Linked DNA regions of Coturnix japonica. The main gene of each other region encodes a partner of the protein of the gene in region 2 in a complex. Links are inferred from orthologs where the notes say so. Each region holds a gene or a part of one and is shown on either strand. Other genes may lie near its edges. The genes, in order: SLMAP and SIKE1.

What was found.
Region 1: the proteins of SIKE1 (region 2) and SLMAP are in contact, whole or in part, in a crystal structure (PDB 6AKM), measured with the Homo sapiens proteins. The link is inferred for Coturnix japonica from reciprocal best matches to the Homo sapiens genes SIKE1 and SLMAP. Residues at the interface, in NP_079349.2 of Homo sapiens: Ile5, Ile8, Leu9, Ala12, Lys13, Leu16, Leu19, Arg20, His22, Asp23, Ala26, Glu27, Leu29, Val30, Ser33, Ala34, Leu36, His37, Val40, Met43, Arg44; in NP_001291349.1 of Homo sapiens: Leu168, Tyr171, Leu172, Glu174, Ala175, Arg178, Glu179, Met181, Leu182, Lys185, Thr188, Leu189, Leu192, Leu193, Ile195, Thr196, Ala199, Ser200, Thr202, Ser203.

Annotation. Positions count from the first base shown.
Region 1 is NC_029527.1:6,442,518-6,447,052, reverse strand, and holds the start of SLMAP (sarcolemmal membrane-associated protein), read right to left. Parts: upstream 3,085-4,535; 5' UTR 3,062-3,084; coding exon 2,864-3,061; intron 1-2,863. UniProt on the Homo sapiens protein: Associates with the striatin-interacting phosphatase and kinase (STRIPAK) core complex, forming the extended (SIKE1:SLMAP)STRIPAK complex.
Region 2 is NC_029541.1:3,922,406-3,926,744, reverse strand, and holds SIKE1 (suppressor of IKBKE 1), read left to right. Parts: upstream 1-1,377; 5' UTR 1,378-1,508; coding exon 1,509-1,815; intron 1,816-1,902; coding exon 1,903-2,045; intron 2,046-2,593; coding exon 2,594-2,707; intron 2,708-3,055; coding exon 3,056-3,145; 3' UTR 3,146-3,922; downstream 3,923-4,339.

The DNA.
Region 1 (4,535 bases), on a different chromosome or scaffold from region 2:
CAACAAACTGCTTCTATAAAGACAAGCAAGAAGAGACATTATGCTGTTTTTCTATAAATGCACTGCTAAGCATAAAAACAATCACAAACCTGAGTACAGGTTTCCCCCTCCACTCCTTTTATGTATTTTCAGGTTTACATAAAAACCCTCCAAAAAACAAATGCAATTTGAAATACCTTCTTTTAACTGCTGCTGTTTTCTTGTGGCCTTGAAGACTCATCCCACTTTTATCATTACTAATGCTGGTGTGACACAGGCATTATCTCCTTACTACAAGGCAGCTTTTTGCACATATGGACTGCCCTTATACTAAGTTTCGAGGTTGTCTCTGCCTCAAAAAGTTTGTTTACTGACCAGCTGTCTTGCCCATACTTTACTAATGCTCCCTCTCCCCACTTTCCACCCTTCCCTACAGATTACGCTGATACAGTTATTTGCAGACTATGTAGCACACACAGGACCATTCACATGATTCACTACAACAAAACAAACACAACTCCAAACCCTCAAGGAAAAAAACCAGCAGCACAGCAGAAAGGCGGCTGGAGAGGCAGCAGAGAGCACAGGCTGGGAATGCAGGATCTGCCATTGCCATCGAAGCACACAGCTTAGCAGCGCCTGGCCCCAGATGATTCATGAACTATTTTTACATTTCTCAAGGATTTCTCTTTGTTATTAAGTTAACATTTCACGGTCTTATCTCTCAGAAAAGCAATATTGGTAAGAGTCTTATTGATAAGCTTCTAAGAAATGTTTACAACCGCTACGGCAAAAACAACTTGGGCAGACCTATATATACATCCCGGATAGGATAATGATACGTTCCTACATGAGATACACGTATGAGAAGATCTGTAAACAATGGCAATGAACATTCCCGCATGCAAATATTCCAGCATAATTTAGGTTTTTGTTTATTCATTTAACACACCACAGCGTTTTAAGCAGCTTTTGTGATTCCAGATTAAGATTGTATTTACCACCACCCACCTTTTCCCAGCAGCACTTCATATTCTCTCCTTCACTGCATTTCCCCCCCTCCTCCAACTCCGTCTTCCCTAAATGTACCACTGTTGTCATGAAGCAAACAGAATCCAAAGCTCTGTGTTCTGCTTTATCAATTCTTTCTGCCTTTTGCAATGCTCCAACATGTAAAACGTACAGTGATACATTCCTGTGCATCATCTGAAACCCCACTCTTTATTTAGTTATCACTATGGCTACTGATCCAGATTCTCATTTGCGCAATTTTCATCAAGATTCCCCCCATCAACTTCTCACATGATGGTATTTCAAGAGCTATCACATGTTACCATCTTATTTACTACTACCAAGTTGCTATTTTAGATCAGCTAAAGATAAAAGGAATAAGCGTATCATTTTTTGACACGTGTTAGAGGAGCTAATGCTAACTAAATATTTAAGAACAGTACTAAACAACAACTGGGTCCCTCTTCACCTCTTCTCTGAGTTAGCAGAGTTGCTCAACATTCAGTGTTTTCTCTAATTAAACCACCTGTAATACGCCTAGAGTATTTATAGCCATCACAGGGCACATAAGGGTCTTAAAATGCTTATTAAGAATGAAAATGTTGATTAAAAAAACCATATGTACAATACCTTTACAATTCAAATCAGTACAATAAAGTAAAACCTTTCCCTTTGTGTCAAAAAACAGTTAAAAACTGAGCTTAAACTAAAATTAGCCATATTTCATGCACTTAAGATCTTAAGAGTGTCCAAGAATGTATATCACAAACATTATAGATCCAAAACAGTATTTTTAATGAATCACAGATAGCAGTTCACACAATTACAAGTAACTTGAAAGCCATGCCATAACCCAGCCTCACGAAATTAAACGCTTGTCTTGTCCCATCATGCCCAGGTGTTGCATAACAGGGGATAGCTAACAATGGAAGGTTTAAGAACTTTGTTCTACTGCCCTTCATGCTGTGTCACACTAGTAAAAAACACAGCATTCATTACTGACTTTATTATTCCTGAAATCAAGAGCTACACTGACCGCATTTCTCAGAAGAGCGTGCAGGGAAGCTTAAAGAGAAAAAGAAAAAGGAGCTAATTTGTACCAGGTGGAGTTTCAGGGTGGAACATCAACACATGAGGAAGAAAATAACAGCACAGAGCAACTGAAATCTGCACTTCGTTCCCTTCTTGTTGAAATTTAAGTTCACAGCCATTGAGTGAAATGGCTTTACTTGTCCCAGTTCAAACCCTAGCGGACAAAACATGCACTACAGAACCTGTGTATTTCACATAACACCACAGCTACTGCCTTTCTGAGGGAAACAGCAGCAGGTTAATACATCTCCGGATGGATTTTAATACCATTTTCACTAGCAATGAGAAAATACCTTGTATGCCATCTGCTACACCCCCACTACCCACCGGGTCCAAACAAAACACGCTATATATGATTTCAAAAATGTAGGAAGAGCAGCACACAAACCCAGCACGCTTTTAAATCTGCTTTCTGCCAGCTGCTCAAAATGGGATTTATTTACACGCTCAGTTAATCAGTTCTTAGTATTTGGAAAAAAAAATAAACGTATTATTCACACAAGTCTGAGCCATATCTGTAATTATTACTCACCTCAAAATCACGCACTCCAGCACGCACATTTTTCAGCACTGTTAGCTTTAAGTACTTTTAAGAACTGACAAAGTTTCAGCTTGGTAAGAAATTATCAGTTTACCAGAGAATTAATCACTAACTATAACACAATCCTTCCACACACAGCCACGTTTATTACGGTGAAACAAAAGTGATCTGCAATATTTGGGGACTCGCTCAAATAAATAAGGTTTGCTATTTTTAAATCAAGCAAGCAAAACATCTTACCTTGCCTGTCTTGTGATCAAACCAGACAAGTGCGTGGTTCCTGGACAGCACCTTACAGTCAAAAGTCGCATTATTCTGAGCTGGCCTGCAGCGAGCCACTGAGCGGCCGATCTTGACGGGCTCATCCAGGTAGACATGACGCTCCTGAAACGGATGGGAGTTGGGGCGGCAGGTGAAGATGGCCAAGGCTGAAGGCATCGAGGACAGATTGGGGTTGCCACACCAACCAGAGACGAAGACAACCTCTTCTGATGCAGATGCAGACCGTCCTCCACGATTTTTATGCCAAACTTCCACAGCAAGTTTACATTAAAGCACGACAAACATTATCGCATACGAGAGGCCTAACAACTCATGGTTTCAGTGTGTAAACTAATTCTGGCAATAATCCAGTGAAAAAGCCCCATTATGTCTCTTAACAACATCAGCAGTGGCCCAGAAAATGTCTAAAACGTACCACTTTCAATCCATCCTCCTCTGGAAGAACAGGAACAAGCATCTGATTTCTTCAGAGAGAAGGAAAGGCTCCTTGAGAGAAGGAGAGAACGTCTTAAATCCAAGTGGATGAGTCATACAAATACTTTTGTTTGGGACCTCGACCGCCTCCTTTTTTTTCCCCCTTCCGTAAACAACACTGACCACCGCACCATGGAAGCAAAGAGAGGTTTAGGGAAGGGGGAAAAGGACCCGAGTCCTCCCTCAGAGCTCACGGAGCAGAAAGGCGGTCGCAGAGCCCGCACTCCGCAGCGGGGATCGGGTCGTGTCACAGGGCGGTCCGCATCTCCTCATCATCGTCCATTAAAGCAGACAGGCGCTCCTCGGGCCGGGCTACCAGAGCGACGCCGAACCCCAGATAAAGCCGAAGCGCTCTACAGCCCCGCGAAGCCGCTGGGCCGAGGAGCTCGGTGCGGCATGGAACGGGCTCGCGGCTCCGCTCTCAGTTCCAGGCCGGCGGGCAGCTCGCTGGGCCCCAGGCGCTCTGACAGCTCGCTGCGGCTCCGGGTCGCTGCCGGCGGGGGGCGGCTCCAGGAAGTCCCTCCGAAGCCCCCACACCGCTCCGGTAGAGGGGGCGGCCCACGGCTCCGCTCAGCCCCGCCGCAGGTGGCCGCTCATGGGGGGCCGCCCCGCGCCTTCTCCGCACGCCGAGCGCGTCTCCTTCGGGCCCGGCGCTGTGAGGGCCCGGCGCTGTGAGGGCCTGGCGGCGGGGCCCGCTCGGTAGCTCTGCCTCTCAGGCGGCCGCCGACCGCGAAAACTTTCCTCCGACCTGCGGAGCCGAAAACAAACCGGGTCAGATTCGTTCCCCGCCCGGCGCGGCCCCGCGCCTCCCCCCGGCCCAGCGGCGCCCGACCCCGAGGGAGCAGCGGGGGCGCGGCGGAGCCCCGCTCCCTCCCTTACCTTCAGCGCAGCCGCCGCCATAGTGACTGGAAACCTACCCGGTGTAACAGCCGCGGCGCTGCCGGGGAGGGGCGGGGGTCGGAGGGCGGAGCCGTGCTCGGCGGGGCCCCGACCATAGGGAACGAGCGGCGGCCGCCCCCGGCTGTGGAGCTGGAGACTGCGCAGGAGTGGATCGGCCTCCGGCTCATGCGCGGTGCTGCCCGTGAAGCTGCGGCACAGGAGGAGCAACGCCCTGAGCCGGGTGACGGGCTGAGGGAGCCGGCGGGAGCCTCAGAGC
Region 2 (4,339 bases):
TAGAACAAATCCACGTTCTGTTTGACAAAATACAGTCATGTGGTTAAGAGTTATTAAAAGCATTAAAGCACTAACCTCTTGTAACCCCATTTTTCACTCTATACACATACATAAGTGTTTAATCGAATCGAAGTTAAACACTAAGATGCTTGAGAGGCCAAATTTATACATTCTCTTCAGTTTATACAGCGCTGATGTGATAAGCCAAAGGAATTATAAGACACCACTGCCCTGAGATCGCTCATCCGCTGCTTTGTTTAAGCTCTGTTGCTACATAAGAGAAGTCCTGGTGAGAAGCACGAGCAGCATTTAGATACAGGAGTGCTGTGCTACTGGGATCGGGTCGGTCCTGGCGCCACATGAACTCATTCTGCTGTCCTCTGGGAGTGGAACTAATGATTCTGTGTCAAGAGATCTGCTGGGCAGGGAGCGAGCCACGGCCCTGAGTGGGGGCATGGGACACATTAGGACTTCATCTCCTTTTCATTCTGTGTCTTTATTTCAGACACTCAGACAATCCTGACATGGAAGCCTGATAAAGCAGTGCCTCTCCCTTGTCTCCACGTGGCATGAAAGGCCGGAATGATATCTCTGAAGGAAGGGAAGAGTGAGCATTAAATCATGCCCAAAGGGAAGGAGAAGTGTAAGAAACAGAATAGGTTCAGACATACAACCCAAGTGCAGCTTGTGCTGAGGTGTAGTGTGTGCTCCTGCTGCTTCAGTCTGACTTCCCAGCTGATGTGAATTGAATTGCTGGTGCTGCATTGATCTCACTGAGTCCCCCGGGCTGTACGATGGGATTTAAGTGCAACAGGTTGTAAATTTGGTACCACGGAACTTCCTTAACTAGAATAGGGTGAAAGGCACGAACAGCTGAATTGTTGAGTGTGTCCCAAAGGAGATGTAAGCCCGCAGGGTGGCTGCAGGCAGCAGAACTGCTGACACTGCTAAAACACTGCTTAGAAAGTATCAAAGGAAAACGTGACACGACGAGAAGCGAAGCAGCAGAATCACCACGGGTGGCTACGGGCGGTTACAGCGAGCAAATAACAAAGAACGAAGTCAGCACTGCACAGCTTGTTATTTTAACTTGAGGAGAGGATGTTTACTGTCGGAGGGACAAACAGGGATACAGATAAGATGTCAGCCCAGGATTTAAAGGAGTTTGAAATCAAGATAACCAGGACCCCCCGTGGGTCACGGCCACCTGCGCTGTGCAAACAGAGCAGCTCCCATTGCCGGCTCTCAGATCCACGCCGTGTGACAGCGGGGAGCTTTGGATCCACGCGTTTAACACCATCCCCGCACCCAGCGGCCTCCAGCAGGCGGCGGTGCGGGCTCAGCTCCGGGCTCAGCTCACGGCTGCGCAGCTGCGGGGCGAGGAGCCGGCCCGGAAAAGGCAGCGGCTGTTGTGCGGGTGTTGTTGTGCCGAGCGGGTTCGGTCCGTGCGCTGTGCGGGACATGGGGCCGCCGCGGGACTGAGCAGCGCGGCCCGACCTGCGCCCACCATGAGCTGCACCATCGAGAAGATCCTGACGGACGCCAAGACCCTGTTGGAGCGGCTGAAGGAGCACGACACCGCCGCCGAGTCGCTCATCGATCAGTCCGCCGTCCTGCACCAACGCGTGGCCGCTATGCGGGAGGCGGGTGCGGGGCCGGCCGACAAGGGCAGCGCGGCGGCGGCGGCGCCCACGGCCGCGTCCCGGCGGGGTCGGAGCGTAACGGAGGATGGTGCTGACGGCTCCCGGCTGCGGCCGCACACGCTGCTGTGCCAGGAGAACACGCAGATCCGCGACCTGCGGCAGGAGAACCGCGGTGAGTCGGACGGGATGGGGCTGACGGCTCTCGGTGCACCGGGGGGGTCGCGTGGTGCCGTGTAACGCTGCGATCCCTGTCCCGTAGCGCTGTGGATCTCTCTGGAGGAGCACCAGGACGCCTTAGAGCTCATCATGAGCAAATACAGGAAGCAGATGTTGCAGCTGTTGCAAGGGAGAAAAGGTGAAGATGCGGAACCAGTGCTGAAAGTTCATCAGGCCAACTCTGTGGTAAGGTGGGATGGGGATGAGGAACTTGCTCTCTGGTTTGCTTTCATGCAACGTTTGTCTCCTTTCACGGGCCCATTCTGCTCCAGGAGCCTTCTTTCAAGCTCTGGTCCCTTTGGTATTTGATCTTTTCCCTGCATTCTTCTCACAGGTTGTAAATTATCACAGAGCATCCTGAACAGCACGAGCCTTTGGTTGTCCAGGTGAAGGCTTGCTGTGTGCTCTGGGTGATACATTCCTGGGGTTAAGCTTTAATAGCTTTGTTTTCACTTAAGAGGAGCACAGCAGAGGTGGTTATCATTACTGTTGAGTAACTGTAACAAAAGGAAAAGAGCCTCCAAAATCCCTATAAGCTGCCGTGTGTTGAGGTATGTGATGCTGTCTTAAAGCAGGGAGGATTACAAGTGGTTGGGAGGGAAAGATTAAGATTCAAAATGGGAAAGTAGTCCAGAATTAATAACATGAAAGTAATGGATTCATAAGGAATAAATTATTACTGCTTTTGCCTGAATGTATTAACGGTGTTTGTTTTTTTTCCCCATGTCTTTCAGGAAATTGAAGGACAAATAGACAGGATATGTGAGATGGGTGAAGTGATGAGAAAAGCTGTACACGTGGATGATGATCAGTTCTTCAAGGTACAGGAGAAACTAGCTCAGCTGGAGGTAAGAACCCACGACATCGCTAAGGACAGATCAAGCTTTTGGGGACTATAGATGGTTGTGTGTGTCAGGTGTTAATAACAATAAAAAACAGGGATGGTGGGTGAGGTTGGGAGGCAAGGAACATTTTCTGTTTAAGTTCTTTGTATTTCTGTCATCTTAACGATAAAGCCCAAAGTAAAAGGTGTCCTTTAAAGTGATGTGCTTCATCCCTTGTAAACATTAGTTTGAGTTCTAGATTTCTATTCGGCTGTGAAGGAATGGGGCTACTTAATTAACAGTCTGTAATCTTTGTTAATTAACTCATCTCTATCTCAGTTGAAATACTGATTATTATTTTTCTTTTTGCAGCTCGAAAACAAAGAGCTTCGGGAACTATTGTCCATCAGCAAGGAATCCTTTGAGCTCGGGAGGGACGATGTGCGTGACAGCGAAGCTTAGATCACAACACACCCAAACCTTGACTTCAGAGACTGTTCTGAAGCCACCCAACAAAGGACGATCTGTAACTTGTTCTTCAGGTGTTTCACATGTTCCATCTATCCCAATGTGTGCCCTGTGTTACTCTGCAATCACACACTCCTGATGGCAAAGGCTTGTATTGCTGCTCTGTATTATCAACCAAGTGAACCAAGTGCTTTTGGTGCCGGCTCTTTTGTGGCAGTTTATCTCACGAGTGTTACTTCCATAAGCTTTCCTCGGCAATTCCAGCTGTCACTTAGAACTGCCTGATATGGGGAACACAATACAGCTCCTGGATGTTGTATTTGCTAGAAGGAAGAAGAATTGAAGTCTATGTTATAACAAGTTGATACCTTGCTCTGCCTGCACAGTGGAGCTTTGGCTTTGAGGACCCAACCCTCAGTATTTGCTCACATTAATATTATATTATATTATAATAATATATATTATATATAATATTATATATATAATATATATTATATAATATATATATATATATATTATATTGATATTGTGATGCTCTCAGTGGCATTTTCATGCTGTTTTCAATGTAATTCAATGACACCCAATTGTCACTGTTACTTTTTGATGCTGTTTTTACTTAGTTTTGATAGATAAAGCAACTGTGTGTGTTATGAGTCTATTTGGATTATGCAGATAAAGGTGTTTAGTTGATATATGGGACTCCTGTTGAGGAGCATTGTACAGACTTCTTTCCTAGACTATTTTAAGATGGAATAAAGCAATTTACAGCCATTTTTGTGCTGTATTCTGTATTGTATCAATGCTGTCCCGTCGCCCCGTCCCACGTGGATCCCGCGCTATGGCGGTGCCGTTGGCTTTTGCGCATGCGCACCGTGCTGCCGCCGGTGGCCGTGAGGGCGCAGGCGCGGCCCCGCCCCGCGATCTCGCGAGAGGCCGGGATTAGTTCCTACGTGCGGTGCCGTGCTGCTCATGGCGGCGCTGGAGCGGGGGCGCTGAGCTGTTGGGGTGAGTCCGCCCGGCCGGGGGCGCCCGGCGCTGCGGGGTTCGGTGCCCGCGGGGCTTAAGGGACACGGAGCCCGAGGGGAGCGGCCTCAGAGCCGGGGGGAGCCCTCGATCTGTCGGCCCGGCCGCGGCCCGTCGCGGCGCTGTCGGTGGGGCGAAGCCGCGCGGGGCCTCCCCCCGGCAGCG